Linked DNA regions of Arabidopsis thaliana. The protein of the gene in region 3 interacts with the protein of the main gene of each other region in a pairwise test. Each region holds a gene or a part of one and is shown on either strand. Other genes may lie near its edges.

Region 1 (10,086 bases), on a different chromosome or scaffold from region 3:
CATCAGAATTCTCATTCTTGGTCTCCATGTTGTCAGGATGAACTTATCTCTTACTGAATTCCTTATTATCCGGTGAAGCCACAACTGATTGACAGAAAATATGTAAAGTTAAGGTTTTATCTCAGTCATGCCCAAATGCACGATAGCAATAATCATAATCACTTGGCCAATTCCTCATCAATAAGTTTTCTACTTAACAGGGAGCTAGTTTAAGAGCTTTAGACATTGAAATTATACTCAACCTAAATAAAGTATAGATTTTTCGTAATACAGCCACTGACTTTAGTCATGCAACGAGATACATAGGAGGAAGAGAAGTCATTCACACAGAAAAACATTCCTACACATTAATGAACTTGAAAAACGCACATAACTAAATCCAGCTAAGAACACGAAACATAACAGATAAAAAAGCATTAAGCGAATAGATAAGAAGCAAAAAGTTGTGAACTTTCAAATTCTGCATCGTTTTCATAACAGCTCAACAACGAATTAGAAGAATAATCAGAATCGTGGCCGTGACAAGTGGAAAAAATATATCACTTACAAACAAATTCTGTGAAAGGATCTATTAAAACCCAGATAAGAGGAAAGCAGAACTGGACAACAACAGAAGGAAGCCAGCGTTTAAGACATGTTTTGTCGGGAAATCAGAGAAACTCATTACTCTAAAGATAGATTCAAACCTGAAAAAAGATTCAATCTTGGCGACAGCGGGAGAGGAAGAGGTTGACGAGGAGTGAGACAGGTTTTTTAAGAGAAGCTTCAAGTGACTAGAAACCCTAGATTAGATTGGTCAAATTAGAGTATACGCTTCAATCTATGAGAAAAGAGGGGTTTTTGGAAATTATTAATGTGTGTTCTTTTCTTTTTTTAAGTTGAACAAAATAAAAAATAAAATTATTAATGTGTTTTTTTTTGATAAATTGGAAATTATTAATTTTGCGCACTCAATTCTTTACCAATTAAATTAAATAAATGGACGAAGAGATATGTAGACTTGTATTATCTTTTTCTGACGTCATATATCAATTTTTTATGTATGGTTTGTGGATAGAGATGGACAAATAATAATAATCACGGATCTCAGAGTATTAAAGTATAGAATATAGATTAATGACCCTAACAAAATTAATCACATTTTTTTTACGTCATATGAATTACATTTTTTTTGTCGTTATATGAATTACATTTAAAAACTTCCAAAGATGTGATTTTATTATTTTACATAATTAAATTAGAATAAAATTAGATTTAGGAAATTAGCAAAACACCAATTGTGATATAGCGCGAGCTTGAATTTTATTTTTATTTTTATGTCAAAAAGAGTGTTGTATTCTCATTTTAATTCGAATCGTGTCCTGATGTTTTGTTTAATCAAATTGAGACCCATCCAAATGTATGTTGTCAAAAAGAGTTGGACTGGCTTCTCTAATAGTATCTTTGGTCATAGAGTACTAGAACACAAATTTGTCACCATAAATCTTTCAAACATATATATCTTTTTCATTATAGTATTGCTCTATACAATCTATGTACATACATGTACAAACCAAAGAGTAATGTTTTTCTTGACTCTTGATCTTCCATCTCAATGCTTTCTAGTTTCTTTTTCAGCCTACATTTGAACACAAATAATGAAGTTAAACTCCCAGAATATATGTATTGGATTATATATACATAACTATATTAAAGATCAACAAGAGAAATCATATACCGCTTTGATTGCTTTCTCAACAGAATCCCATCCAAACCGGTCAACGTAGTCTTGAACCGATTTTCTAGCATCAAGACTCATCATCTGTAAAACTCTTCTTTGTTCGTCTGTATAATTCGTTCCTCCTCCAACATTCATCCCAATTTTGACGTATTGTCTAACAAAATTGGAGTAAATGTAAGCTGCACCACTGAACATTGGTAGCACCAACCACATACAGAACAAAAGCTTCAAGTATGGCCAAAATGGTAGCCTACAATATGCAAAAGAACACCATTTTTTTGTCTTTATAGGCATAAATTTTTGAATTCGTAACAGAATTTAGTGAATAATATTGTAATTACCAGGCAAGGACTCTCCAAACGGATAGCTCGAATATCGTTATTAAAGAGTAAATGATCCAATATGTAAGCCATTGTTGATCATCTAACATTGTTGGACTCTCTATTGCTCGAAATGATGCATACCTAATCATTTATTCAGTTAACTATCAAGTTGCATTTGTAAAAACCAAACATTTAAATTCAGATTTGATATCACTTACAGAGGATAGAGAAGCATGACTCCAGGCCTGCATGCAACAAGAAAAAGGAAGAAAATAATGTTAAAAATTTGACAAATATAGTGTTTATTTTTATTATATGAGACAGAATTTGAATAAAATCCTACCCAACTAGAGCATCAAAACGTTTTGCAATCGCAATAATGAAACCCATTTTCTTTTTGAGTTTTTACTCTTCTTTCAACAGAAACTTTCTCAAACGTCTTTAGCACTGTGACGTTGGATATATACACAAAAGCTTGAAATTTCTTCAAGCAAAAGAATCTTTGTGGGAGTTAAGGCAACAAGCCAGGTAAAGAATCTCCAACGCATTGTTACGTTTTCATGAACCTATTTATTATATGTTCTAAGAAGAAAAAAAATATCTCAAAGTAAACGTTGGAAAATTTCTGATGAAGGGAAATCCAAAGTCTTGGGTTTAGTATCCCTATGAATGGTATTTGGAATATGTTTTCGTCAAAACAAAAGATTCTTTTCTTTTTCACAAGAGTTAGTGATCAATAACTTATGCACTAATTAATGAGATTGGACGTATACACAATTTGATTATGATACTTGAGTAAAAATCACCTGTCCTTTAATTTGGAAATCTCTCTTTCTTACCCATTTATATACTACTTCTTTTCATTAAAATTAAATTTCAATTATCAATCATCGTTCAATTTGATAAAGATTTAACATTTTTTGTCACAGGGCTAGTAAAAGCAATCTTTACATAATTCATCTTTCTTACATATATATATTACCTTTTTCTTCATTAGTATTCTATTTGATTATGATTATTTTGTCATAAAGCTAGTAAATTAAACACTCGATATGAGAATTATATTACTTCACGCTAATTAACTCTTAACACAACAAGAACTAGTGCATATTCAACTTTCAAAGCATATACTATATATTGAGAATATAGACCACGAAAGTCAATCAAAAGACCTACCAGCTCTCATCAAGTTCTTTCTTGAAATGATTTTGCAGAATTTCCAACTTAATTAATTCGACATGAATGTGAAAATGTGTGTTGCTCGTTAAGAAAATTGAATAGAAGTACAATGAAAATGATGAGGAATGGGCAAAACACAAAAGAGTTTCCTTTCGTAACTACAATTAATTAATGCAAATCTGAGAAAGGGTTCATGGATAATGACTACACACATGATTAGTCATTCCCCGTGGGCTCTCTGCTTTCATTTACTTTATTAGTTTCATCTTCTCTAATTATATTGTCGCATATATGATGTAGTTCTTTTGTCTAAATTACGTAATATGATGTAATTAATTATCAAAATAAATATTCAAATTGCCGTTGGACTAACCTAATGTCCAAGATTAAGACTTGAACATAAGAATTTTGGAAAAACTAAACCAGTTATAATATATACTCTTAAATTGCCATTTCTGAACACAACCAAATAATAATATATACTATTTACAGTTTTTTTTAATTGGCAAGAACACTGAAATCTTATTCATTGTCTCGCTTGGTAGTTGACAAGTTATAACACTCATATTCATATAACCCCATTCTAACGTTGACGACGAACACTCATATAAACCACCCAAATTCTTAGCATATTAGCTAAATATTGGTTTAATTGGAAATATTTTTTTTATATATAAAATGCCAGGTAAATATTAACGACATGCAATGTATATAGGAGTAGGGCAATAAAAAGAAAAGGAGAATAAAAAGGGATTACCAAAAAAGGAAAGTTTCCAAAAGGTGATTCTGATGAGAAACAGAGCCCATACCTCTCTTTTTTCCTCTAAACATGAAAGAAAAATTGGATGGTCCTCCTTCAATGCTCTCTCCCCACCCAATCCAAACCCAACTGTCTTCTTTCTTTCTTTTTTCTTCTTTCTAATTTGATATTTTCTACCACTTAATTCCAATCAATTTCAAATTTCAATCTAAATGTATGCATATAGAATTTAATTAAAAGAATTAGGTGTGTGATATTTGAGAAAATGTTAGAAGTAATGGTCCATGTTCTTTCTTTCTTTTTCCTTCTATAACACTTCAGTTTGAAAAAAAACTACCAAACCTTCTGTTTTCTGCAAATGGGTTTTTAAATACTTCCAAAGAAATATTCCTCTAAAAGAAATTATAAACCAAAACAGAAACCAAAAACAAAAAATAAAGTTGAAGCAGCAGTTAAGTGGTACTGAGATAATAAGAATAGTATCTTTAGGCCAATGAACAAATTAACTCTCTCATAATTCATCTTCCCATCCTCACTTCTCTTTCTTTCTGATCATAATTAATCTTGCTAAGCCAGGTATGGTTATTGATGATTTACACTTTTTTTTAAAAGTTTCTTCCTTTTCTCCAATCAAATTATTAGGGTTCTTCAGTTAATCCTTATAAACCATTTCTTTTAATCCAAGGTGTTTGAGTGCAAAAGGATTTGATCTATTTCTCTTGTGTTTATACTTCAGCTAGGGCTTATAGAAATGGAGGGTGGTGCGAGTAATGAAGTAGCAGAGAGCAGCAAGAAGATAGGGAGAGGGAAGATAGAGATAAAGAGGATAGAGAACACTACGAATCGTCAAGTCACTTTCTGCAAACGACGCAATGGTTTACTCAAGAAAGCTTATGAGCTCTCTGTCTTGTGTGACGCTGAGGTTGCTCTTGTCATCTTCTCCACTCGAGGCCGTCTCTACGAGTACGCCAACAACAGGTACACATCTTTTAGCTAGATCTTGATTTTCTTGAATTTTTTTTCTAGAATAAAGTTTCGACTCTTCTGGTGGGTTTTTCAATCTTTATGGTCTCTTTATAGTTTTTTTCCTTAGTTTCTCTGAAGCTCAAATCTCTTTAAAAATCCCCAAAATTAGGGTTTGTTTAAAACTAGGGAACCCTACTTTAACTTCTTTCTCTTAGTAAAAAAGCAGTGAGGGTCTTCTCTGATCATTAATTAGCATCCCCCATACCTTGTTCCAGTCACTTTTTCTCCACAAATCCTTATAACAGTATCTATATATGTATCTATTTATGTCAGTTTGTACAAGACACTTCGATCAATTTGATGACCCATCAAGTTTTATTTCTGCAGATTGATCATTAGGTTTCCATCATAGTAATGAAAAAGTAGGGTTCTTGATAAAATTATAATAATATATATTATTTGGCTATATAAAAAAGCTATGTAGATTCCTTCAAAATTGATTCACTAGGGAGAGACTAGTAGGTGTTTGTCTTCTGACACTTCTCTAATCTTTTGGTGAATCCTTTTGTTAAATCAAGAAAATGAATCAGGGACAAAGCTTATTGTTGAGTCACTTAATTAATCATCCGATCCATCAATCAAGAAAAATAACGAAACAGAAAATTTTGATTTTTGATTGTTATTTTCTCCACTTCAAGTTGGGGACTTGTCATTTCCGTTTTTCTATACGTTTCCAGCTATTAACAGCTCATGTTCATTTCACCATTTTGATTATTTGTCTGCTTTTTAAAGATAAATGTTTTCAAAAATATTGTTTTTATTTGCTTGGCTAGTTAATACTATAATTGAGGTTGATGTATGACTATAATCTATAAGTCAAGTCTCATATCATGGATCTAAGTTAAAACTAGTAAATTTGTAGTTTCAATGTGAACTTTCACAACGACTAAAGAACTGATCTGAAGTTTATAATGGACATGACTAATTTGATTAACAAAAGAGGAATGCATTATGTATGTAGAAACATGTGATATATATATGTTTCTATTATCAAAAGTGTAGTTAACTTTCTTATTTCAAACACCCTCATGCTTTAGTAGTATCTTACTTTTGACATTTCTCAACTTCAGCTTTCCATTATACAACAGCACAATGTAAATTACTTGTATATGAATATGAAAGCATAACGTTATGCAAAGATTTCTAGCTTTTCTTTTTCTGTTTTGCAAAAGATTTACAAATATCATGTTCTTGGTAAAAACATACTTGCCTCAGCCACATATGCATGTAAATGTAATGTTCAAATATTAATTCAGGAAAAACAAATGAAGAAGCAAAATTAGCTTCTAGAGTAGGGAATCTATTGACTTGACCTGAAAATCACTTCTTTTTCTTAAAGCCTAGTAGTGAATTTTTTAATCTAATTAGGCCAAAATATATACTAGCCTAAAATATAATTTGGATTTTGTGTCGTACATAAATTGGGACCAATTCCAATTAACTAAGAGCATATGCAATTCAAATTCTTTTTATTTTCTTCTCCGATTTGCTACTTCTTTCTTTTGTATGTTTTCAAATTAGGATTACACTTTTTTGGGGAAGTACACATTAGGGTCTTCTCGAACTTTGATTATACATATATATATATATATATAACTTTGTGAGATGTCACTGTTAATAGATAATAGGCAATAACAATAATATCCCAAAAAAAGAAGGGCAAACAAATCATATACTATATGGTACTGGTCCATTCACTATTTTGTCGGTTGAATTTAAGGTTTTGGGCGGACAAAACTTTATTTTCAAAACCTTAATATCCGTCTTTCTGTGTGTTTTGTATATCCAGAAGATAAAAATATCAATTTCTTTAACGACTTCATATATATATATTTTTTTCTCTTCTGGTTTTAGTGTTTGAATCCAACAGTTATAGTTTCGTGTGTCTTTGTTTTACTTGTGGTGGTTTAAGTTTGAGATTTTCACCGATTGCATCTATTTACATATATAGCTACCACAAAAAAGATTGCATTTTAAAATCTTTTCCTTTGTGTGAATGTTGATGAAGTGTGAGAGGAACAATAGAAAGGTACAAGAAAGCTTGCTCCGACGCCGTTAACCCTCCGACCATCACCGAAGCTAATACTCAGGTTAGCTTTTAATTAATACACCTAGCTAGCTAGTTCGTTAATTACTTAATTTCTTCTTCTTTTAGTTATCTGACCTTTTTTTCACCTCTTGTAACAATGATGGGATCGAAATTGATGAAGTACTATCAGCAAGAGGCGTCTAAACTCCGGAGACAGATTCGGGACATTCAGAATTTGAACAGACACATTCTTGGTGAATCTCTTGGTTCCTTGAACTTTAAGGAACTCAAGAACCTTGAAAGTAGGCTTGAGAAAGGAATCAGTCGTGTCCGATCCAAGAAGGTACAATCACTAACTCTCCATCAATCTCCTTATCATTGAATATATATCCATCTGATTCTTGCCCGTTATATTTGGTTTTTCTCTCCAGCACGAGATGTTAGTTGCAGAGATTGAATACATGCAAAAAAGGGTAAAAGTAAAACCTATCTTCCTTCACAAGTAACTTACCCCCTACTTTATTAGCAACTTCTCTTTCTGATGATCATCTTTTTTTATTTTCTGTTGTCGCTTGCATTGTAGGAAATCGAGCTGCAAAACGATAACATGTATCTCCGCTCCAAGGTTTTATACATAACTCTTTTTGGCATTTTTGATCATCATTTTTTTCCGGTAGACAATCTCTTGATGTGCAAATTCTAAATATCTCTGCAGATTACTGAAAGAACAGGTCTACAGCAACAAGAATCGAGTGTGATACATCAAGGGACAGTTTACGAGTCGGGTGTTACTTCTTCTCACCAGTCGGGGCAGTATAACCGGAATTATATTGCGGTTAACCTTCTTGAACCGAATCAGAATTCCTCCAACCAAGACCAACCACCTCTGCAACTTGTTTGATTCAGTCTAACATAAGCTTCTTTCCTCAGCCTGAGATCGATCTTATGCATATATATATTCATGTTACACTTACTGTCAAAAAACTTAAAATGCAGATGGTAACGATTTGAGAGGGACCTAATAATTTACATATATCTTGATTATGTAAGTTAAGGCTAAGACAAGAGATCCAAAAATAAAATGGGATTTATTGCTAGTTAGTGTTGCATATTCAAATCAAAATGTGTTGATGTGACGTAAAAAAAGCATATGCAATTTCAACAAGACTATTGAGATGCAGTTTGAGATGCAAAAGCTGCATATGCATAGATAGATCCCAAGTTACATCTAATTAAGATCTTTCTAAATTCTAAATCATGGACATGGAAGATATAAGCGATATATATAGGCCAAACCTTTTTCCCCCTTTTGTTTTCAAACTGCAGAGGATATAGTCTCTTTATCCTTCTAAATCAGCTCAGGATTTTTCACTTTCTAAGGTAATGCATAAATTTACAAGAAAGAGATCGTAGATGGTACCTCAGGTTTACTAAGACAAGGCAACTGAAATGAAAACCCTTGTGAATTTGAGAGTCTTGCTAAAGTTCAGTGGATCAGGATCTTAGTCCCAGCGTCATGTCATAGAGGGACAAGAAGATGTGTAAGATCTTCAACAGCAATAAATCCTGCTTGTAGAAGTTCCTGTATTAACACTCTGCAGTATATGAGACTGTATCAAGAAGGAAGCTTGATGTGAGAAATTGATAGTCTCTACATCCACAGCTTTACCAGTACCTAAAACTATGAAAGGACATCATGCTGCATCATAAGATGGAACTATTAGTAGAACTTTGTGTCATAATGTTTTTGGATTTTAGAACCCTTGACCTTTAATCATTCTCATTCTGCGTCGAAAACCTGCAACAACAGAAATGGCAGAAGATATTTGAAAACAAATGGAGCTAAGAGATGTACCATTTTCTAATGAATTCAACGAGACTTTTCTTCCTCAATTCCATTGTCAGCAGCTCCTCCCAAGCTTTCTGCAAGACTTAATACATTCATGCATTTCTCACCATGATTTATAGTATAACGGCCAAAACCTGTCATAGTGTCTTGACCTAACTTTTACTGCAAGAGAGCAACCAAACAAGCTACATATCCTATCAGTTTGATTTAGTGAAAACTCTCATAGCTAAATTTTGTTTACTGCTACATGTGTTCTGGCATCTGTCTTAATCTGAGGTGACTGTCTCCAAAAAATAAGTTTAGTTTCCTTAACATAGAATGTGATTAGGTGAAAACAGAACACTTTCAATTCAAAATGATAAGAAACCACTTAGTGAGCTATGTTCCGAAAATTCCACATGCTGATGAACAAATCAAGCCTAGAATATTCAATCGATGCATCCAACTTAGCAAGGAAAAAAAGTTGAAATTCTTGAAGAAAAATAACTGCAGAGCTAGAACTTGAGAAAATCTACTTAATGCTATCATCACAAACCAAATAAATCATCATCCTCTGTTCACACATTGATCATGACAAGCATATATCACAATTTCAAAAAGTTTACTCGTTCAAATTACTTCAAAGTTTCATTACTTCTGAAAAAGCTCTCCATGGCTAAAACAGATTCAGTGGATCAAAGTTTGATTACTTCTGGATTAGTATTATTTTTCGTATGGATTTTGTTGACATTATTAAAAAGTTAGAATCAGTCATAAGATCATAAAGTAGGAAAAAATAACAGCCTTGGGTGAAGATAAACTTGGATAGAGATATTTCTCAACCTCCAAAGATGTCGTGTTTCCATAACCATGACACACCAACTTAATATCATGAATGCAATTCCAGACACCAATAGAGAGAGTCATTAAAGATATTTTCATTGGTGGGTAGAACTTGGGGTTTGAAACTTGAATGCATGGAGACCATCTTGCAATATTTACTCCACAGAGTTTATTACACTAACACCACACTTTTGATATGTACTCCTTCCTTCTTTAATGCTATAATGTTTGCTCCTTCTCTCTCTTTCTCCTGCCCTTGTCGTTTTTGGAGTTTAATCCAGTTGTTTTCACTTTATAGACACACCTCTTAGGCATGATTTTAAAAATGCTCATGAACAATTTAATGCAACAGTTATGACAATGTGTTGGTCTGTGAGC
Region 2 (7,376 bases), on a different chromosome or scaffold from region 3:
ATAGAGAGATTTGGATGCGTGCGAGTGACTGTGAGACACGTGCAAAGATATGGATGATGACTTCAAATCAATGTTATGACTTTCATAGTTTACACATATGTCATCCAACTTTCCTCCTTTTTAGATATTTACAATTTCGGCGTTTTGTTTTTCATATTCATCGAATTTTTTGGAAAGTAATTCTAGTCCAGTAGTCCTAATTTTTGTTTACATTTTAATGGTGCACCTGTAGTTACTGCAGCTGGAACATATTGGTGATCTCTACTAATGTGTAGCTTTTATTTAATTGAAGATTTGTTACATCTGATTTTTTGTAGTCGAAAGTTCATATGTTTTCGCTAAAGGAGAAAAAAAACTTGCAGGAATATAAATATATACACAAACACAAAGTTTGTCAGGTTAAAATGATTAGAATATTAAAGTTTGGAGATTTGCTCATAACATTAAAATAATAAATTCAGGAAAAAAAGACAACATAAGAGTTTTATTTTAGGCAGCACATCGTCTATTTGGCATTACAACCAATAATTTAAATTTCAATCAGATTTTGATCGAATTTTATAAGATGTACGTATAAACGGCCATGTGTGGTACTTTAGGTATTTCGGTAACCATGATTAATTAAGAAAAGGAAAAAAGAAAAACACTATAATACATGCTCTTGTTCTTAAAGAAATCAAGAGAAAAAAAAAAACACAGATGATTTTCGTTTAAAGACAACAAAAAAAACATGAAACAAACTATAAATTATACACTTAAACTAAAAGTCAAGTACTATCTTGAACAATGGACTTGAGAGCAATCGTCTGCAACTCAAGACATTTAATGTAGTTACCAATCTCACTCAACATTTCTTCCACATTCATCTCTTCCCCACCTGGCAAAAGCTTCTTCAATTCCCTCAGTCTCTCCTCTATCCCTCCTTCTTCGTTTCCGCCTTCTTTATCGGGTCTTTCAAGAATCCGAATTCCATCGGAAGAAGAACTAGTGGTAGTGGTTGGATTCGATGAGGACGATAGCTTCTGCAGCAAGAAACGGCTCCATGCAAATTCTTGAGCAGACAAAGCCAAAGCCATATCTACTTCATGCTTCACGGTTTGTTTTGAAGAGTTCTTGTTCATGTTGAGCTTCTTGAGTGCAGGAACCAAGTGGCTTGTGTATTTTCTCGTGAAAACTGCACTAGGGTTCTTGTTTGGTTCAAGAGAAAACACTCGTTTCTTCCTGTTTATGATTTGCCTCTCCATATGAGAAACTATTTTTGCTGCAAATGAAAGTCTACAAGGGAGAAAGTTACATATATAGCAAACTTAGAATATGAGAGAGACAAAGAAAGAGAAGAGCGGTGTCCTACGTTTGTTTGTATATAACAAGCGTTGATGATGTATAAAGTAAAGTTGTAGAACTTAATTTTCTTTGTATACATATATGAGGTAATATGTTTGGGAGTGTTATTATTTTTCGTTCACGTACAAAACACAAGACTATTTGAAAGTCGTAGTTAGTAGTTTTCTTTTTTAGACAAATATTTTAAAAACAACGGAATTTGAATATCATCAACTAATATATGTTTTTTTGTATAATACATTTATTTTTAGAAAATACACGAAAACAAAAAGAGAGTGTGTATATATATATATATATATATATATATACATAAATAAAGAGAGAAAAATAAGAAAAGAAGAATTTGGGAATAATAATGGGTGAGGGAAGAAAAAACACATGGAGTCACATGCAAGAGCTCTAATTTGGCTGCATCACAACTACCCCTAAAGAGGTGCTTTGAGAGACCCTTTTACCATGTGGCTCCATTCCAAGAACAAGACATCAATACAAAACCCCACCTTCTCTTAATGCTTTCACATGTTCCTTCCTCTTAACCTCTCTCTCTCTCACTCACTCACTCACACACTTTGTATATACATAATACATGTATGCATGTGTATGTGTCCTTGGACCAATCTCCTAATTAGTTTGATCAATCTATGTCATTTCTACCCATATTATCTTAATATAGATCTCCCTCATATTATATATACCATTTGACCTTCTTTTTTTTTATGCTGCATGTGTGATGAATTTGGGTTTCACTACCCACTACTTTTGCGATATTTGGATACAGATGGTAACTTGCTAAACAGAAATTTAGTTATTATTAGTGGTAGTTCAATTGGTGATCTGTACAACATATCAAGACAAACATCTTTGAAACTGAATTTTACTGCCACTGTAACTAATATGACGTAGATACAAGTTTCTTTACTACGCATATTAACATAAAGTTAAGATGCATGTGGTCAGTAATTGGGTTATTAATACGTTTTATTTGTCAAGGACTTTTAGTCGTGATTTTTTGATTCTAAGCATCATTGCATTCCAGGTTTAAAGATGACTTTAATTTTTCCTATAGGATTTGTAAATAGATAAATATAGTTTATGTTGACACAAAAGGTCACCTTTGATATGATATGAAAGTCTGGGTGTTACTCATTTGTTATTTTATTTTTATTTTTTAAAATATATACCGAATCATTTAGATATATATATATATATATATATATAATAATAATAATAATAATAATAACAATAAAATGTCCAAACAATATCTATAACTACTAAACATGGGCGGTTGAGACATTACAAGTTGTCTCTTAATCTTATAGTGTTTGATACATGCAATATACACGTTACTAGCTTTTGTTGTTAATAGCCAAAACTGAATGATCTCTTATTGGTTTTGTTGTGTTCTTTATCCTACCACACAAAAAAAGTCAAGGGTTAGTAGATTATCAATCAATGCAGCAAGGAAATTTTATTTCTCTTTTGTAAATAATCTTTTTTTTTGTTAGAATGTGATGTTTTCTCGTATTATATTTTAATGCAATCCCATAACCTTTGATTGAATGTGGAAAACATGTGTTAATGGTAACCCATCTAGATGAAATTAATTAATCTATAAACTTTACTAAATACAAGTAGATAAAAGTACATAAAGGTAGAGGAATTTTCTAGTTAAAAACAAACGAAATAATATATATATATATATTGGATATATATATATATATATATATAATCTAAGAGGAGAAAGAAATTGAGATGCAAACTAATAGATGTGGATACCAAAATAGATACTAGACATTCACACCTATAGTAGACATTGAACAATAATGCATATAATCATAAAAGTTTCTTGGAATTTTGCTTAATGGTTTTCCACCTTTGACAATCCACGTTGAAAAAATGACCGAATTAAATGTAACTCTTTCCAATCACACAATCAAGCTAGGTAAAACCAGATTCGTAATTATTCAACAGTATCTTTACGTAAAAAGATATATAAAGGAACAATAATGAATACAACCAACTAATGCCAATAATATTAAAATAGTATAGAACTATTTTGTCTGCAGTATGAACCACAAAGAAATCGTACAAAACTGTCAGAATGAATTGTACAAGGTCTGTGGAGATTTCTATCGAATATTGTAGATGGCATGTTATGACTTGTTTGTGCTGTTCTTAAATTTTGTTTTCTCTTCTTTATATAAGTTTTTTAAAAAGAAATAGTTAAACTGAATTAAAAAGGTGTAAGCAACAATAATATGAGAAGCGGACCCAGATAGAGGAGAAAAAGATATGGCTTGGATTGGGATTTGGGAGGGACACATCTCATGTGGGTTTGAATTCGAGTGTTTTGTTTGTATTCTTAATTTGGAGCTATTTTCTTCGCAAATGTCTCCACGTGCACTCACTTTAACATTTCTTTCTACAACATCTTCGTTTATTGAGAGTAGAAAAGAACACTGCCTATATGGCTATATATCTCATATGTAATGTCCTGTCTTCGTGATCAAAATTTTAGCATTACGTAAAATTTAGAGGATAGATAAAAAGTTACTTTAAAAAGGATCGAGGTTTAACATATCACTTATGCTTAGTTCCCTTAAATATATTTAAAAATGTATAATCCACCATGATATGATGATAATATAGTAAAAGAGACTTCATACGAATAAAATACAAGATAACTATTATATTTTTCTCGATTAAGACCAAAAAATAAACATAATCCAGCACCCATTTTCAACCATTTTGCACTTCCACGGATTTTCTAAATGGCTTAACAATCTGTATCATTTGTTTCATCCATATACGTATAGAGGTTTTTTAATGTCTAGCTCTCTAGGTATTATTATGTAACACACACGTTTATTTTTGTTGGCTTGTTAATAAAACATTCATATATATAAGATTTAAACAAGAACGAAGGGCATTTAACATAATGTTCAGAAATAATTAAAAACGAAGGACGCATATCATAATGTCAAACTATTTGGCAGGAATCTTTATATAAATTAAACTATTGTGTTGTACAAATAATGTAATAAAAAACTAAGAATGGGACAGGGGAAACGCAGTAAAGATTTCCTTGTATCTGGTGGAAATTGCAACTACGAGTCGCATCCTCCTTCACATCCTTTTTTTTTCTGCATTTTATTTTGTTTTTCAAATAGCTCTTTTAACTTAACATTTAGTAAAAAAGGAACATGAAATTTTATTGTTTTGCCAAAAAAGGAACTCAAAAGTGTACGACGACCAAAATAAATATGAGAATGAGATTATTGGGTTCTATGCGTTAAAGAAACAAAAACTTTTCTTTTGTTTGGTCGGTCCATTGGTCCACATGCAAGTAGGCTTGACAAGGTTTTTCAAAACTATAACCAAATAAGTATTAAATCAAGTAAATAACTATAAATACATGTTAAGAGATTTAAGAAAGAAAACAAACATGGTAGACACTCAAAACGACATACTAGTTTACTCATGAAACAGTTTTAGACAAAATATATAACATGTTGCTTAGAGAAATAATATACAATTAAAAATAAAAATAAAAAAAATTAATAATGATTATATGCAATTTGATTATTTGGTTTGATCTTATAGTGATACCACGCTGTTTAACATATGATTATACGAAATGCTAAGGGTATTTTGCTCAAAACGTAAAAAAAATCTGAAGGCTTGAAGTTACAGCTTTATCATTGATAATTTATATATTAACATTTATGATCATTTATCTAAATAAATCATTTAAGTTTACCAAAGTCACAAACTTACCAAGTTAACGAGGATAATGGGCCTCTCCATTCTGACTAGCCAAATCGTTTCGAGTTTGAAAACATTGGTCGTAAATAAAGAAAAATTAAGCAGAAGAAGAAGAAGAAAGCTGCAGTTGTTAGAACTTTTAGATTGGGTCAGAATAATGGGCCTCTCCATTACAAATGCAACAAATCAGCAAGTCCAGACTCCAAGTGTAGCCCAAGTTAACAATAGCAATTATGCATAAAGAGGATTGAGGATTATAGTCGAATGGAAAGATTTTAGCGGTGAAGATATAGATATTTGATAACTTTGTCAAGAATAAATTGGTAATGTTTCTCGTTTCAAATCTTTTATAAATTTTGCAATAAAATGAATTGTTTGTTGTTTACAAAAAAAAAAAAAAAAGTTGTTTGTTCTCCAGTTATCTTTAACAGTAATAAATCTATCCAAGATCTCTACTTTGATATTTTGTATCCTCCCTGGAATACCATAAAAAGGAGAAGAGAGAAACGAAATAAACCCATCTTTTTTTTTTTTTGTCAACGAAATAAACCCATCTTATTAATTTAAGTTTCCATGTTTCACACTTATGAACTCCTTATTTTGACAACAAGAAATTAAATTTTATTATTAAAAAAAAAAATCCTCTTTAAGGAATAAAAGAAAGAAAACCTCAAATCACACTAATTGACACGTGAACAATCCCTTCGAATCTCACCAGCATTACCAGTCAAAACACCAACCCGACCTAACTTCGTGATCGCTGTGATGAAAGCTTGTCTAAAAGCTCCTTCACTATTGGCAAACGAATTAACTGTAGATCTTGACCGTTGATCTGTGAACAAGATTTGATCTGACGTGAACAAACCCTTTCCTTGTTGGAGATTCTTGAAATAAGCATTATCGAAAGTACGTGGACTGGTCGGATCCATGTTGATTGCGATTCTTACGTCGACACCGATCGGGCACATTTGCTTAAGCTGAACCACGTATCCACGGTTTATACTCGGGTCGATACGTGTTGTAGGGCTAAAATTGTATATTCTCTTTGACATTTTTCCACAATGTGCAAATCCTATAGTGTGTGCTCCTGAATTATAACGTCACAATAACATTAATACTATACCATAAGAATTTGGTTAAAGTAGAAAAATATAATAGGTTAAGTTCGGTTTTGGTACCTGAGAGGGCAATCATATCGGTTTGAGAGAGGCCGTGACGGCTAAACATGCCGTTGAGCTGGTTTAGGTTAAACTCGGGCTGAGGCAATTGGCTTTGAACGCTGGCCTTCGTGGAGATTCTGCCATCTCTCCTCCCTAGCTCCACCGGGTAGCTTGGTCCTCCGGTCTGCAATTTTTATTTAGTCAGATTACTATTGTTATTATCTGATCAGATTACTATATGACCTGTGTAGTTGTTACTTGTACTTGTCTTAAATTACAAACCGCCAATAAAAAGTGTCACTGTGTAGTTGTTACTTGTACTTGTATTATATTTAATGATATGATTAGCTTTTTCGCACAAGAAAACTGAAAACGATATATACTGTAGAAAAAACGAATTTTCAATACCTCGGACATTATATAATATGTATTAAAGGAATAATAGAGGAATAACTAAGTGATGTAAAATATATATATATATATATATATATATATATATATATATATATATATTAGTGTACCAAAACGACGACTTCACGAGTGGCGAGAGCCAAAATGTCAGCACATGAGACTTTGTTGCGGCAATTGGGATTGCTATCAACGGCTTGCTTCGCCTTCACCACCGTGTCGAATCCGTCTCCGGCCAATGACATGTCATCTGGATGGTCTCTCTCCGATGGTGATGCTATCATTATTGACGCATCACATCCCTATACATTCATACGTAAAGATAATGTTTTATTTGAAAATGATACATAGAAGATAAACATCGTAAACTCTAAATCTAGATGTTTTGGGGATACATTTCGATCAGAAATAAACTTCTTATATTGTACGAAAATATCAAAAGAAAATTGTAACGTACACGAACGAAGCAATCGTGGAAGAAGAGGCGAAGAGTGGCCGGAGCGGTAACGAAAGTCTGCTGGAATTTCTGACGGACAGCGTTACGTACAATGGTTTCCACGTTCGGACATGAGTTCTGGTAGAAACCTGTCCGGAGCTGAGCAGAGACACATGAAGAAAGGAGAAGGAGAAGAAAAAAGTTGGAGAAGATGGTTTGAGAAGTATTCTTCTCCATGGCTAATTCAATTCAATGTTCTAATC
Region 3 (7,382 bases):
AATCCCATGACCGATCAGTTGGATAAGTTAGTTCGTCATAAGATTGCTGAATCTCCTGACATGATTTTTGAGGGTTATAAGGAGAGAATTATTGTGAGATCAAGAGCATCAAGATTCTTAGAACCATGTGTTACAAAGGCTTCCTTTACAAGGTATGTGGAAAAAGTTATTAAAGATGGAAAGATGGAGAAATTCTCTTGGAAAAGTTGATGAGTGTCCAATATGTTGTGCAAACTTAAAGGCATAACGCAAATGAGGGGAACATCTTTAGGGTCAATAATAATGTTGGTCAAATCCATTTTTCATGAATTTGTCTAGTTATCAATCAAGTTGTTCAGAAGAAGAGATGGGTTATAATTATAACCTTTGTTTAAAGCTGGCCACAAATATTTAGCAGGAATCCAGGGGTCATTCCATATTGAAATTGACTCTATAGAACCAACTTTTTTAATAAGTTCTTAACTAGAGGTCGAGCAGATAGAATACTCTCTCATCCATATAATCAAATTGGATCTAATTCGATCCATGGAATTTGATTTCCAAATATATCTTCCTTTAAAAACCTTAGAAAATAATAAATCAAAGATCACAATAATGCAGTATTAATGTCTTCCACAGTCTGAAAAGATATTCCATCTATCGATTTATTGCGACATAACTTATGCCTTGACATCAAGTGTATACTTTTTGATTTTCCATTTGAACTCCACCAAAATTTTGCTACCGCGCTGGTAAGTTTTGATGTGACCGAGTTTGATAAGTCTAAAACAAGACATCACATAAGTATGTAACGCAGCTTAATCATCACCTCTTTCTCACCTTTAGATAACAATTTTGATGACCATCAATTAATTCTATCATTTAAACGCTCTATGACAAAGGATAAATACTTATTCTTAGAGCCCCCTAAGTTTTCCAGTAGTCCCATATATGAACGTGAAAAATCTATAAAAAAAACGAACTTTTAAATTTGGAATGAAAAAACATGCATTTTCGAAATACCATTTAAATCACAAAGTTTTAGTTTGATTTATGATAAAATGATGAATTTTCGTTAACTTGACTATTTCGACAATGTCATTAAGTTTTCTTAACCAGACGATCACATAGTTAATTTTTCGTTAGAAGCCTATATAGACTTAGAACGACATAGTTTTGAAAGCTCGTAAATGACATCATTTCATTAGAAAATAGATGGAAAACCTACGAGAAAGCAAACTACTAACCTATTGGACTCATAAGAGACTCTCAATTGCTAAACTACGAAAATATCTTGGTATAATAGCAAATACTGCATACATATTTTGTTGGTGTAATAAGATTATTCTTTCCTAAATTATTAATGAAAACCTAAGACTTATGGAATACAGAAAATTAGTTATAAGACCTAAAATTTATATAATCCTTCTCATATATGAATCCTAAAATTTGTAGAATTCTTAATCCTATATTTATATGAGAATGATTGCATAAATTTTAGGTCTTATAACTAATTTTCTATATTCCATAAGTTGGCAGTCTGTTAAATCTCTGTAAACAATTTTTAGAAAATTATGAATCTTTCGTCAAAGCGAAAGGTCTTCATGGGACATTTCTAACATGTACACCAAAAAAAATCCAAAAAGATTAGTCGGGCATTCGTATACACACTCATGCTCATTAGCTTTCATAGATTAATTATCACCGTTAAATGTAGATACCTCTCATTACTTCGTCAACGTCATAGTCATTTATAGGAATGCAATAATTATGAGCCGGTGCTTACCCAACAAATACTATCCTCAATAATTTTATTAGAAACGGAAAAATGTATATCATTAATATTAGTTGATAACAAATTTCAAAATCGAAATATTTATCCAATTGTAACAAAAATAGTAACTGAAGGATTATTCATTATTTATTTCATTCGGCATTGTTTTTTATTTTTATATTTGACTAACACAATCAAGTTTAGACATCACAATGTCCATTATTTTTTAATAAATATCAGAAATTTAGGAGACTACTGACTAGAAATTAATGTAAATTTCTGTACCAAAATTCCAAAGTTCATAAAAGATAAAAGCACGTCGCTTGATATATAAAGGACGATAAAGATTACATATATAGATAAATTAATAAATACTATATTAAGAAGTTATAATAAAAAATATTGGAAGGTTACATGAGTAAGCTTCTAATCACGGCAGCTTCAGGGCTATCTTCATCAACAGAGTCAAGAAGCTGCGACAAACGATCACTGAGATTGTCAACTTCTCTATGCAATTTTCTTATGTAGTTGCATGTCTCTTGTAGTACCTTTGATGCTGACACCTATTTTGAACAAATAATAATGTTAGGATTCTACATTTTCAACAAACATCATCAAGAACATTAATATATATACACACATGTACGAACACCACATAAACAAGACTTTTTCGAAGTTCAAAAATGTTGTCAGGAGTCAAATGTTCCGACTTTTTTGGTTTCTTTTGTTTGATTTAAATGTAGACGAAAAGATCAGTTTTTTTTTTTTTTTTGTATATACATGAATGAGGTGAAATGAATGTATATATGTCGTATACCTTATCAGAACGACGCCGTTCGTGAATCTCCGGCAAAAACTGACGGAGCTTACTAACGAGGTCGATCATCTGGTCATCGGAGATCCTCGAAGCATTCGAAGTTTGTCTTGATCTTCTGTTAGACATTTTCTTGTTTTTACTTTGTGATTAGGTGTAACACTACAATGCCGCAAGAAAATAACCTTTATGTTGTATGCTTTCTCTCTTTTCTAGATTAGATAATAGAGAAGAGATTGAGAGAGAAGGGTTTGTTATTAAGAAGAGAGTTTTAAAAAAAAAAAAGTGAGAGAAGTTATGTAGAAGGTTTGTGTTTATTCTACAGGTTTTATATTTGTGTTGAAGAGGTGTGAAAGAAAGAAAAAGAAGAGCAACGAAAAGAGAAGAGAAGAGAAAATTGTAAGAAAGTGTTTCGGGTAATAGAGACACTTCGAGATATAAAGAAAATGAGAAAGTGATAAGAGAGATTTAAAGAGGTCAAGGACCACAAGGGAGAGAGGGAAGAGATCAATAAACCTAGACAATGATGTAATGGGAGAGAAAGAGATTTGAATCTTTGATAAAACCTCAAACAAAATTTGTTTAAATAAAATTATATTTTTCTTTATCTCATCTACATAGAGTAACATAGATTAGAAATGAATATTTATAATAAAAAGTACTCACTAATTTAAAGGAAAACTTATATAGCTTTATCATATATTATTAACTTTTAAAAACTATTTGTATGGATATAAATCAAAATTTATTTTGTAAAACTAGTAAAAGATTAATAATTGAAAGAATTGTATATAATATAGTTATGCTGAATAATGGACGAGGATTTTGGACATTTTAATGGAGAAATAGATGAAAAAGCTGAATGTTCCCAAAGCTGGTGTTGAAGTTGAAGTGGGATTTAAGAGAAGTGTTCCATGTTGAGCTAACAATGTGGCCCTTTATGTGCATGTCACTAAAAGGCAATACCATGTGATGACCTTGACTTTCTATTTTCATTTCATTACTATTTACGATATTATCCCACCTTGGATCCATAGAATTATAGAAAGATCTAGAATTGATCTAGGAAGTTTGTGGTTGATCCGAAATTGAACATAACTTTCCATTCAAGATTATAGACCTAACTTCCTGTCATGTATGATATGTCACAAGAACACATATGTAGTAATCCAAATCAATTTAGATGAACTGGTTTAGTTAAATTAGTGTGTTCACATGGCTTAAAACTTATTACACATAGCTTGTAGTAGCACAAATAATTTTGAATCAATGTGTTGATATTCCTTATTGAATCTATATAGACCGCAAAAAAAAAGGAAAAAAAAATAAAGCAGCGTGGACTTTGATTCGGTCTTGCAATGGATTACCCAAAAAAAGTAGTCATGATAAGTTCGTCTGCTTCCTAATTTAACTCCTATGTTTCGGAAGCTTGAGAGATTTAGTATACTTGATGTTTAATGGCATATATCATATATGTCCCATATGGTTGCTTCAGATCTCAGATTATGCCTCCTTAGATTCTAAATCATGATTACCACGGGGACACAAGGTACTTAATTATGTCCTTTATTTGTGTGCATTGTTTGCATAACATACAAAAGTGTCAGTAAATTAGGAAAAGTCTACTAATTAATTGGTATTAAATCTAATCAACTGAACCATGTTTTCTCCTCCAACTTCCAAGCTAATAGGAAAATATATACCAGGACTTATAATTAAAAATCTAAACTTAATTAAGGAGAAGTTCTGTAATTATTAATACCTAATTTTTTTTTATGATTTAGAAACTTAAAACAAAATTTACATGTAGAGCAATAGATGGAGGCGAACATATTAATAGCTTATTTTCTACAATACACATACATCGGATTTGAATCCAAATTGTGATAAGAGAAAAAGATATAAATCAAAATGTTCATACTAATTATTTCGTTTTTATTTATTTCTCGTCCTTTATGGGGACATCTAAGTATGTGATTGTTACAGCTTTGTTTGCCTTAGCTTCGCATCACATTAATTAAATTTGTAATATGGTTGTTTTATCCTCTATTTGAATGAAATGCTTTTAGTGTTAAACACATTTCAATTAGCTAAACATAAACAAATAGTTATAGACTAATTGTACTGTTTTATTGATCACTGAACCCGGGAAATTTACATTTTGGTGACTAGAATATTGAAATACATTGAAGGTAATGAGTAAAATAAATTTAGTTATTACAAAATATGCTAAACAAGTAGTGCAAAGTGAACAGAGTAATGGTAACCATAATAATTAATAAGATTAAATACAATTAACAAAAAATGTATAAAATTTTGAGTGACCGTAACGTAAGCACGCATGTCTTTTGTTGTTTTGTTGTAATGAAGACAAATAAGACGTCTCAATTGAAGGCGTATAGCTAGGTTGAGAAAAGTACTCGACATATATACAATTGTCCATTAAACGTTATCTACATAATTATATTGTTAAACCATTCGTAATTATCAAGAACAATACTACATAGCATAAATGATACGTATTCATCATCATATTCGTTTCGTTTGCATATATAGATTATTGGTATTGTCTTTGTTTTTTTGCAAATTAGGAACTTTGCCTATGTGTTTTCTATTTCTGATCTTAGTTTTTGATTTTTTGATAGTCAAGTCTTTAGTCTATCTGCAATGTGAGTTTAAACTCATAATTTTACAAACGAAAGAAATATATTTCAACAAAATTAGTCATGTTTAAATTTGTCGTATTACTATAAGTTCTATCAAGAGAAAAGCCATGTAAAATTACGGTCTTTTATCCGCGCATTTTCAAAATTAAGATTAGCTCCGAATAGTTATTCTACACACAATGGAGCAGACAATGCGTACCAAAAATTATACCATGCATTTATAACGATATTGACGACAACATGAATTATTCACCATAAATATACATTAAAACGATGTGTATCCAACGTAGACATTAAAAGTCAAGAGCCCTTGTTTGAGAAGGTTCGTTCTCATATTCGGAAAGAAGCTAATCACTATGTTTTGGCTCTGTTTTTACCTTAAAACTCGGATTTGTTATGACAGATTTTTGCCATTATAACTTTTGGATTTGGTTTACGCAGCCATACTTGTGTTGACTCCACTTTTTTCTTGTTAATAAAAGTTTGCATTTTCAGTGAAAAATAGAAGAAGGAAAAAAATCAAGTATCTAACCAAAACTCCCTCTAATATTCTTAAGAAAAACAATGCACATTATAAGTATACATTATATATTACTGTAAATTAATAGCTAAGGGAGATGTAACATGTTAGTCCATGTGGGTTTCACGTACTGAATGTTAGGCCTCTTAGGCTCCACGATGTTTTTATGTCCAACGATCCCTTTTGATTTTTCCTATCAATTTTGGTCCATTCAAACATAATGTAACAAAATAAGATTATTCAAATTTAAGTTATTGATAAAATAATGAGAAAAGCAGCCTTATGCAATAATGCAATAATTGAATTTTCCGATATAACTATATACATGTTTTAATTTCTTTTTGTTTGAATAGTTGTAATTTTCGTGGTTAGGTTTACGCTGCGGAATCAACGTAGTTTAAGCAATACGATTTTACGAAAAATGCGTAATAATATACTATTATTCAGCATGCTATAATAGTGATTTCAACGAGTCATAATACGTCTTGACCTTTTTATAAGTAGAATACTGTATAAAAATATGCTTTTTTTCCTTGTTGAAGAAATAAAAATATGTATGCGTTGCAAACAAAAAAAGTTTGTTTTAAAGAAAGGGAAAATTATGCCCCGACAAATTACTTAATGATGTTTAAGCACACTTCATCTACCTTTGCTTTGCGCTCAACAAAATACTGATTGATCAATTTACCAATTAATAATTGTTATAACTCCTACACTATCTTCCTTTTACCAACGTCGAATGTAAAACATTTTATGATATAATTAAAAGGGGGAGAGTATACCGTAAATGTATGTTGCAGTTTGGTCTCGGCATTGGGATATTCATGTTGGATTCTCATTTTCGGATAAAAGAGTTTAAGAGCCAATAGAGTAAATATAGAAAATTGGTTCAGTTTCGGTTTCGCTTCGGTTCTAATTCATGGTGGTTGAGTTAAGATTTTTAGAACTAGTAACCATCCACTAAAATTGATTGGGTCTTGTTAGAATATTTTTTATATGATTATATCGGATACTCATTCGAAAGATTGTCCCTTATGAATCTAATAGGTTAGATGTTCGATTATATGTGGACGCGAGTTTTGCATCATTAGTTTCTAATGAAACCACGTCGTTTTGGAGCTTTAAAAACGACGTCATTTCGATTTATTAGACATTTCTAACAGAAGGTTGACATCGTTAATTATGTTAACGGAAATTTAATGACGTGTCTAAAATGGTCAAGTCAACGGAACTTGACAATTTTTTCAAAAAGTCAAACTTAACTTTGTGATTTATATGATATTTTGAAAGTTCATGTTTTTTTCGTCTCAAATTTGAAAGTTCGCGGTTATTTTGACATTTTTTCTTCTTTAAAATAATGTCGTTTTCATTGTTTAAAAATAACAAAATGTCTCTCGAGGGATTCGAACTTAAGACAATGTAGACCATGGCCAAGTGTGAGATTAGTTAAACAGTAAGACATTTTCAACTCTTTTTACAAACACATTATTATTTCCTTCTTTATCATAGCCTTATAAGTCTTTTAATTTGAGTTTGTTTACGGCACTTTTGAATTTAGTCCATGTGTATTGTGACCATTTTTCTGAGGCATACGACAAAAACAAAGGAAATGCTCTAGTTGATTTTGGT
Region 4 (7,276 bases), on a different chromosome or scaffold from region 3:
TGTTATATTGAGGTATTCTGAAATATTCCTGATTATTTCACTTCTCTCTTTTTCTGGTCAACATCTCTTAACAGATATATGTTTGTTCCGCCTGCAGAAAATGCAGACATCTTGCTCGGAAATCTGTGAAGCTCCCTTTGCTTGGAACAATGTCAGTGTTGTCGCTTTTGGTGAATATTGTTTGTTTGGCGTTTGCTGTTTTCTGGTTTATAAAACGTCACACATCGTATTCTTGGGTTGGCCAAGACATTTTGGTAACTCCCATAGCTCTCTTTTTCTTCGTCACTACATGCATCTAGATACCATTTCCTCTCATTATTTCTCTTATCACCGCTTCTGCTATTTTTGTTAATTTAGTTTCATATTCCACTCTTTCCATAAAGGAAGAGGTCATGTTGAGAAGTTTTGGTTCCTTGGGCTGCACTTAGTGAAATATTTATTGTCATCTTGTTGACAGGGCATATGTTTGATGATCACTGCCTTGCAAGTGGTTCGATTACCTAACATCAAGGTATTTTATCTAGTTTGCTGTGTAGTGAATTATGATTGTTCTCTGTTATGCTTATAATGGTCTGTACTCCAGGTTGCGACTGTACTTCTTTGCTGCGCATTTGTCTATGACATTTTCTGGGTCTTCATATCTCCATTGATATTTCACGAGAGTGTTATGATTGTGGTGAGTATCTCTTACAAAGTCGAAAATTTATCATTTCTATTGCTACACTCAGTTTATCCAGGTTAGGCTTAGAAAGGGGCTAGTTATGTGATTTGTTTCGTTTCTGCAATTCTGACCAAAAAAATATGCTGTTTCGGAAGGTATCATTGAAGTTTGTTTTGTGACACATAAATTTGTTATGGTAGGGCTGTAGTATCTTTGTCGTTTTGTCAACAGCTTACACAAGTAACTTTATAACTCAATAACTTTGAATAGTAGTCGATTGTGATAATTGAGTAATTGAAGGGCCCAGAGAAGCTCAGCCAGTATATTCTTATTTGAAACTCCCTTCTTTGTAGGTTGCCCAAGGAGACAGCAGCACTGGGGAGTCCATTCCGATGCTACTAAGGATTCCTCGGTTCTTTGATCCTTGGGGTGGTTATGACATGATTGGTTTTGGGGACATCCTCTTCCCCGGTTTGCTCATTTCCTTTGCTTCCAGGTACTTTTAGTCAGTGACATTCTTAGAGCTTCAAAGAACAACTTGGAATTCCATCTTTGCCCATACTTTCTCCAGAGTGTCTTTCTCAACGATTCTCTCATCCAATCCTCTCCCACGATTAATACTTGCTCCACTCTTTGATCTCAGATATGACAAGATAAAAAAGAGGGTAATATCAAATGGGTACTTCCTCTGGTTGACTATCGGCTATGGAATAGGTAAGTGTCCACGCATTACTAACTCTGTGAACATTAATGGCGTTACATAGCTTATACAACAGAGTAAATGATCTCAATTATTTTATATTTTCCGACTATAAAATAACATAGCTTGCTAATCGAGATGGCTTCTCACATTCACAGTCTTGGAACTTAACAGAAACATTGTTTCTTCCTGTTCTGTTTTGTAGGTCTATTACTGACATACCTAGGTCTGTATCTTATGGACGGACATGGCCAGCCGGCACTATTGTACATCGTACCCTGCACACTCGGTAAAACCAGAAGCTTGAGTTCCCTTTCCTCCATCTGTTTTTGAACACTCCTCTCCATCGTTCTCAAACAAAACCTGATGTGTTTTCTCTCTGTAGGTTTGGCCGTCATACTGGGGTTGGTAAGAGGAGAGCTTAAAGAACTATGGAATTACGGTATCGAAGAATCAGAGTCTCACACACCGGAGGATCCAATGCCTGTGGCATAATAACATGATTCAACAATATTCTAATGATGTGTTATCAATCAAACTGAATTAGCTTTTCCCCAAAACATCGAGCATAGCTTAAGCAGATTTCATATGTGAGAGGTACACAAAAGCTGATGATGTAAGTTCTCTGCAAAGCCAAAGTTAATCGGATACCAAAAGTAATTCAAGACACATCGGAAAGTACTGTATTATATCGTTTTTTTTTCCTTGTTTTGGGGGAGAAGAAAGAAAGGTTCTCTAGTAAGACTCATGACATGTTGTACAGAGTCTATATTAACCTTCTCTTGAATTCAGACTCGTTTTTGTAGAATTTCAAGTATAATGCAAATTCCCTTTTGTTAATCTTTGTGTGTTTTCTTTTTTGGGAAAAATAAGTCTTTGAAAATTCCATAAAACTTGAAAGTTTGTTCAAATATTATTCGACTGATGGAATGAAATTCTGACGAAAACGAATGCACGAATCAGATATTTGATGTGAAATATGTGGAATTGACCAATTTGTCTGTTTACGTACACGTGTATAATAATTGACAAATTAAAGTAGGACACTCGTATGAAATATAAGTATGACCAACTGCATAAATAAGACGTGTAGATAATCCTTCCAACGGAAAATGTGATTATAAAGAAAACAAGTAATCAGAGTCTTGTAATTTTTGTTAATAATGTTGTTGTGAGCGACCATTTGAATTCAATCCGACATAAATCATGAAATGTTAGAGTTATACAAAAAAAAAAATCTCTCTTACCTGAAAAAAGAGTTATACAAAACAAAAAAGGAGTTAAATTATATATATTCTACAAAATTCTTTAACCTATATAATGTCAAGTATTTTTAAGACTTATTCAAGTAACTCCGTGTTAAACAAAAAAAAATCATTTAATTAAATGATTCATAATTCTATAAATATATATTTTTAAAATTATTAGATTTATCATATATTTTCTCAAAAACATAAACAGTCGTATATGTATAGGAGATATATAAATACAGAATGTATATTTTATGATAGTTATAATTCCGCTATAATTTTCTTATAACTAATATGTTATAACTTTATATATATAATCCATCCATAGAAACATCATTGACGAATAACACAATCAAGAGGAACCAAGTAAATTGCATAGCTTAAAAGAAAAGAAGAAAGAAAATTCTCTTAGCATATGATAAGTAATAAATCCCCTTTTATCATATGACAAGGGCAAGTTACCAAGCCCTAATGTTTAAACCGGCCATAGCATATGATAAATAATAAATCCCCTTTTATCAAAATTCAAGAAAAGAAAAAGAAAAAAATCTTTCGTTACTTCGAGACTAATACATATCCACACATTTCATATATGTATCCTATCTTACACGTATGTATATATATAAGAATATATATATATATATATATATATATATACACATATATATTCGTTATGATTACCCCAATCCAATAGACTATGTATGTGTCGTATCTCTATATACATCGATCATTGATGATGATGTTGATGATTAATTGATGATCATTTGGGAGATAAGCCATCAACGAGACACTGCATGACCTTGACCTGCATACTAAGGCACTTGATGTAATGAGCCGTCTCTTCCATCAGCTTTGACGTCTCCATTCCTCCGCCTCCCGGAACAAGATTCCTCAGCCTCTCCGCCGCCTCCTCCACCACCGGAGCTCTCTGGTTACTCCTCCTCCGTTTTGATGATATCTTCCACTTCCTCCTTGAAAATCTTACGATCTTGTTGTCATCTTTGTCTGCTCTACGCAAGAGGGCTCTGCTCCATAGCCGGCTACTCCCTCCGGCTGCTCTGGCCATGGAAACGTACGCAGCCTTCTTGATCTTCCTCACGCGGTAGTTTTTTTGGTCCGGAGTATCAAAAGGGTTTTGTTTTCTGAGATTTGAGAGGGATTGGAGGAAGTGGAAGGCAAAAACGTCCTTTTCAGGGACATCTGTGTTTATGAGTTTGTCTGCAGAGGCCATTGTTTGGGTTTTTTAGAGAAGAGAACTTGAGTTGAGAACCTTTATAAAACTTTTTTTTTTTTGAGAATGACACAATATTAGGGTTAATATAAATGGAAAGGTGGAGAGAGAGAGAGAGATAGAGAGGAATAAATAATGTTTATTTTTCCTTGTACTTAACTTTTCTTTATGTTTTTTTATGTCACAAGACACACAACTATTCAAATTCTCTATAAAGTTTAAATTTAAACTATAGGTTCAACTATTTATAACTCATGTTCTAAAAAAAAAAAGATGTGTTAATAGCTTTGAAATATTGAATTTTGGAGCTTAATTGGTCCGTCAAAGTTACGTTGCGTAAAAATATGAGAATATGAAGTTATAAGTGGCAGTTTTCTTCAATGGTGAACAGCAAATAAATACAGTTCTATGTTTAACTTTGGGGGTTTACTAATATTAGTTCAAATTTTTTGTAGATTCGTCTGTTATGGTTTAGTGGTTTGACATCGATTGCTTACTGGTGGCTACTTAGATGTGTAAATATATCATTATGTGTTAGAATTTTAAAATGAAATGTGAATTGTATAACCCATGTATTTCGGAAAAGTATAATTTACACCTAGTGTTATAAAGTCTTGAATAAATAAATGGGCAATTAGTGGAAAACGATGTTTTGGAGCTTGAAGAAAAAAGTTGATGCCAATAGATTAACAGAACTTGGCTATTTTGGGTATATATATTTGACTATTTTGAAATTTGAAATATTAATGTATACTACACCCAAATACAATATATATAGCATTAATGCTCGTATACATCTTAGCTAAAACAAAATAATAATTCGGATGATGTTTAAGTACTAGACGCAAATTAATCAAGCTCGTTTGGTTCATAGCTTGGTATTAACGGAAAAAAGAGCAATTTAGAGCAGACATCAGATTATGGAATTAGATTCCAACCACACTATTATGTTTATTTGTTTGTTTTTATAAAAGGTTAATTTAGTGACGAATGCGTATGAATTCATTAACGTGAACAGCTAATAGAGACTATTATGATAAAATTAGGTAAGCTATATACATATATGTATGTATTTATGTTAACATTAGTTGACAACTAATGACGATTAAGATGGAATATGATCGATTGTGGAAAACATATAAGCTCATTTTCAAGGCAAAAGAAATAACAAAACCCAAAATATCAATTTAATTGATTCATTACTTGCTCGATATTTACTTCCACAAACAAAATTCAGCCAAAATCCAACTCTCGTGAAACGACTGATTGAGGATGTTTATTCGAAACTGAGTTTGAACTATACGTTAGTTTAGAAAGTAACACCATTGAACCTGAGAATAACTATGATTATTTCGACGATATAAAGTGTTAATAAACTTAATCAATTAGCCACTCGCATCATCAAGATAAAACGTGTTTAAAATTGATCAGATATATAACAAAGTATTCACCATGCAAGAGAGCAACAACAAAATATGAGATTATTCAATTGGCTTGACCAATAGATGACGTTACAATTTATATACACCAAATATTACTAACCAATTTAGAAAAGACAACACATGAAAATATAAAAGAAGAGAAGAGAGACTTGAGGAATACGATAAGTGTTTGGTTAAGGCTATAATTTAGCATTAGTCCCATCTCTTTTGTGTTAATCACTCTCTCCCCTACCGCTTTGCCGCCGGACGTATTTTTCACGCCATTTAATTCTTTTGTATAACATCATCATGATCATATTTATCTTTTTTCAAGATTCAGCTCCAAAATCCCTTAAATCTCACTGTTTTCTCTAAGGTTTCAAATTTCACATCTATCATAAAAATACGTTTAAAGATTAACAATTTCGGGTCAATAACAATTTACAAAATTGTTGATATTAGGAGTGAAACCAAATGAATAAGAAGGTGTTAATCATATAATAAGAACTAAAAAAGAGTTGAAGAAGTGGTAGAGTAGGTCCACTAATGGGCCAACCACCACATGAAGGCACATGGCTATGGCCTTTACCCACCTCCACTTTCCTTTCTCTCTTATCTTTATCTTTAATTTTTTTTTGTTCTAATTATTCAATTAATATTAACTACACCATTCGTTTTCTTTGATTCTCTTCTTAATTTAATAATAAGTCGTTGGGGGCGAATAAACTTTATCATACTAGTTGATTAAAATATCCCAACTAAAAATGTAAAACAAAAACAAAAGAATAAATGCTATTGGTCATTTAGTAATAATGATTTACAAAATGTTGAAAATCAGAACGTGTGAAAAGCCACGTAAGCACTGACGCCTCTTTTGTTGTTAAAGAGGAAAAAAGAGTGTTTGGTTGTTTTATTACGTTATGTTCAAAATGAAGACGGCTGATTAAGCTTGACGTTACAACTGTCGGCGACTTTGCTCCGTAACTGTTGACGTGGCTCCGTTTTACTTTCTCCGGTGGATAACATGACGGCGCTCATTTTCTTTCATTTTTTATTTAAACCTCAAAGATAATTTATGCGATCGACGACGACGAGTCACGAAGCAAACCATGACTCAAGCATATATAGTGTTTGTAACTTTATGCAAAAGCATATATAATAAACTCATTGAAAATGTCTTATATAACAAAACCAGTTACGAATTACGATAGCCTAAATAGATGTTACAAATATCTTTAACTATGTTTGTTGTAGTACAGACATATTGTTCAAATATCATCATAGAGAAGTCCATGTAAAACGGATTGAAGATCAATTTTCGGTAATTTAAATTCTTAAAAGAGAAGACCATGTCATATTAAAATCGACAGTAGGAAAGATCTAATTAGTTAAACATATTCAGACTCTCGGTCTAAAATAATTATAGACCGTAAGTTACGCGTAACACAAAAACGATTTGGTTGGTTAATAAAACTGAGGAATAAAATAAACGGACAGAGACAAAAGGGTTGCACGTGGGATAAATTTAATGTACACATACGCATACACACGTACATGCAAATATTGAGTTAAAAAACAGAACCGTGAAATAGAAAAAGTGGGCCAATCTTGCCTATTGTTAGAGAGGCAAGATTTTAATACTCAAAACGAAGACCACTTCCTAATTAACTATCTCTTTTAATTATTTTCATATGTTAAGCTTTCAATTATTTATCACTATTCTTCAATTATTCATATCGATCTTTTCACTCTGAATTCATTATTCATAACATAGTTGGCCACAGTAAATGTCTTAAGTACGTTTTTATTTCTTTGGAAATTGTGGTTATGAAAAATGATATACAAATTAATCCGCATCATACATATTTTTGATAAATTTTCAAGGCTCAATAGAGTTTTCCGGAAAACTCATCAAAGACATGCATGCATCTAGCATATTGGCACAGTGTCGAATTTGGACTCATGTAGATATTAATTCGTTTCTTCCACCCATTATTTAATCTTAGACGACCA

What was found.
Region 1: the proteins of PRE5 (region 3) and SHP2 interact in a two-hybrid assay, tested with the Arabidopsis thaliana proteins (one large-scale study listed by BioGRID).
Region 2: the proteins of PRE5 (region 3) and AT4G30180 interact in a two-hybrid assay, tested with the Arabidopsis thaliana proteins (one large-scale study listed by BioGRID).
Region 4: the proteins of PRE5 (region 3) and IBH1 interact in a two-hybrid assay, tested with the Arabidopsis thaliana proteins (one large-scale study listed by BioGRID).

What each region holds. Positions count from the first base shown.
Region 1 is NC_003071.7:17,815,869-17,825,954, forward strand, and holds SHP2 (K-box region and MADS-box transcription factor family protein), read left to right. Parts: upstream 1-4,386; 5' UTR 4,387-4,558; intron 4,559-4,718; 5' UTR 4,719-4,733; coding exon 4,734-4,960; intron 4,961-6,389; exon of another isoform or gene 6,390-7,016; coding exon 7,017-7,098; exon of another isoform or gene 7,099-7,218; coding exon 7,219-7,380; exon of another isoform or gene 7,381-7,468; coding exon 7,469-7,516; exon of another isoform or gene 7,517-7,620; coding exon 7,621-7,662; exon of another isoform or gene 7,663-7,752; coding exon 7,753-7,938; 3' UTR 7,939-8,145; downstream 8,146-10,086. Other genes in the region: PP5.2 (protein phosphatase 5.2), read right to left, coding at 1-28; HVA22F (HVA22-like protein F), read right to left, coding at 1,592-1,618, 1,718-1,970, 2,062-2,184, 2,262-2,288, 2,387-2,433. UniProt on the Arabidopsis thaliana protein: Probable transcription factor. Interacts genetically with TT16/AGL32 in a partially antagonistic manner during flower development. Is essential for the coordination of cell divisions in ovule, seed coat development and endosperm formation.
Region 2 is NC_003075.7:14,762,896-14,770,271, reverse strand, and holds AT4G30180 (uncharacterized protein), read right to left. Parts: upstream 1,489-7,376; 5' UTR 1,245-1,488; coding exon 768-1,244; 3' UTR 501-767; downstream 1-500. Other genes in the region: AT4G30170 (Peroxidase family protein), read right to left, coding at 5,790-6,196, 6,288-6,453, 6,791-6,979, 7,135-7,350.
Region 3 is NC_003074.8:10,853,618-10,860,999, forward strand, and holds PRE5 (basic helix-loop-helix (bHLH) DNA-binding family protein), read right to left. Parts: upstream 3,171-7,382; 5' UTR 2,697-3,170; coding exon 2,571-2,696; intron 2,317-2,570; coding exon 2,164-2,316; 3' UTR 2,006-2,163; downstream 1-2,005. UniProt on the Arabidopsis thaliana protein: Atypical and probable non DNA-binding bHLH transcription factor that integrates multiple signaling pathways to regulate cell elongation and plant development. May have a regulatory role in various aspects of gibberellin-dependent growth and development.
Region 4 is NC_003071.7:17,905,813-17,913,088, reverse strand, and holds IBH1 (ILI1 binding bHLH 1), read right to left. Parts: upstream 4,083-7,276; 5' UTR 3,843-4,082; coding exon 3,372-3,842; 3' UTR 2,879-3,371; downstream 1-2,878. Other genes in the region: SPPL3 (SIGNAL PEPTIDE PEPTIDASE-LIKE 3), read left to right, coding at 1-12, 98-254, 458-511, 584-676, 1,015-1,157, 1,305-1,375, 1,567-1,650, 1,747-1,856.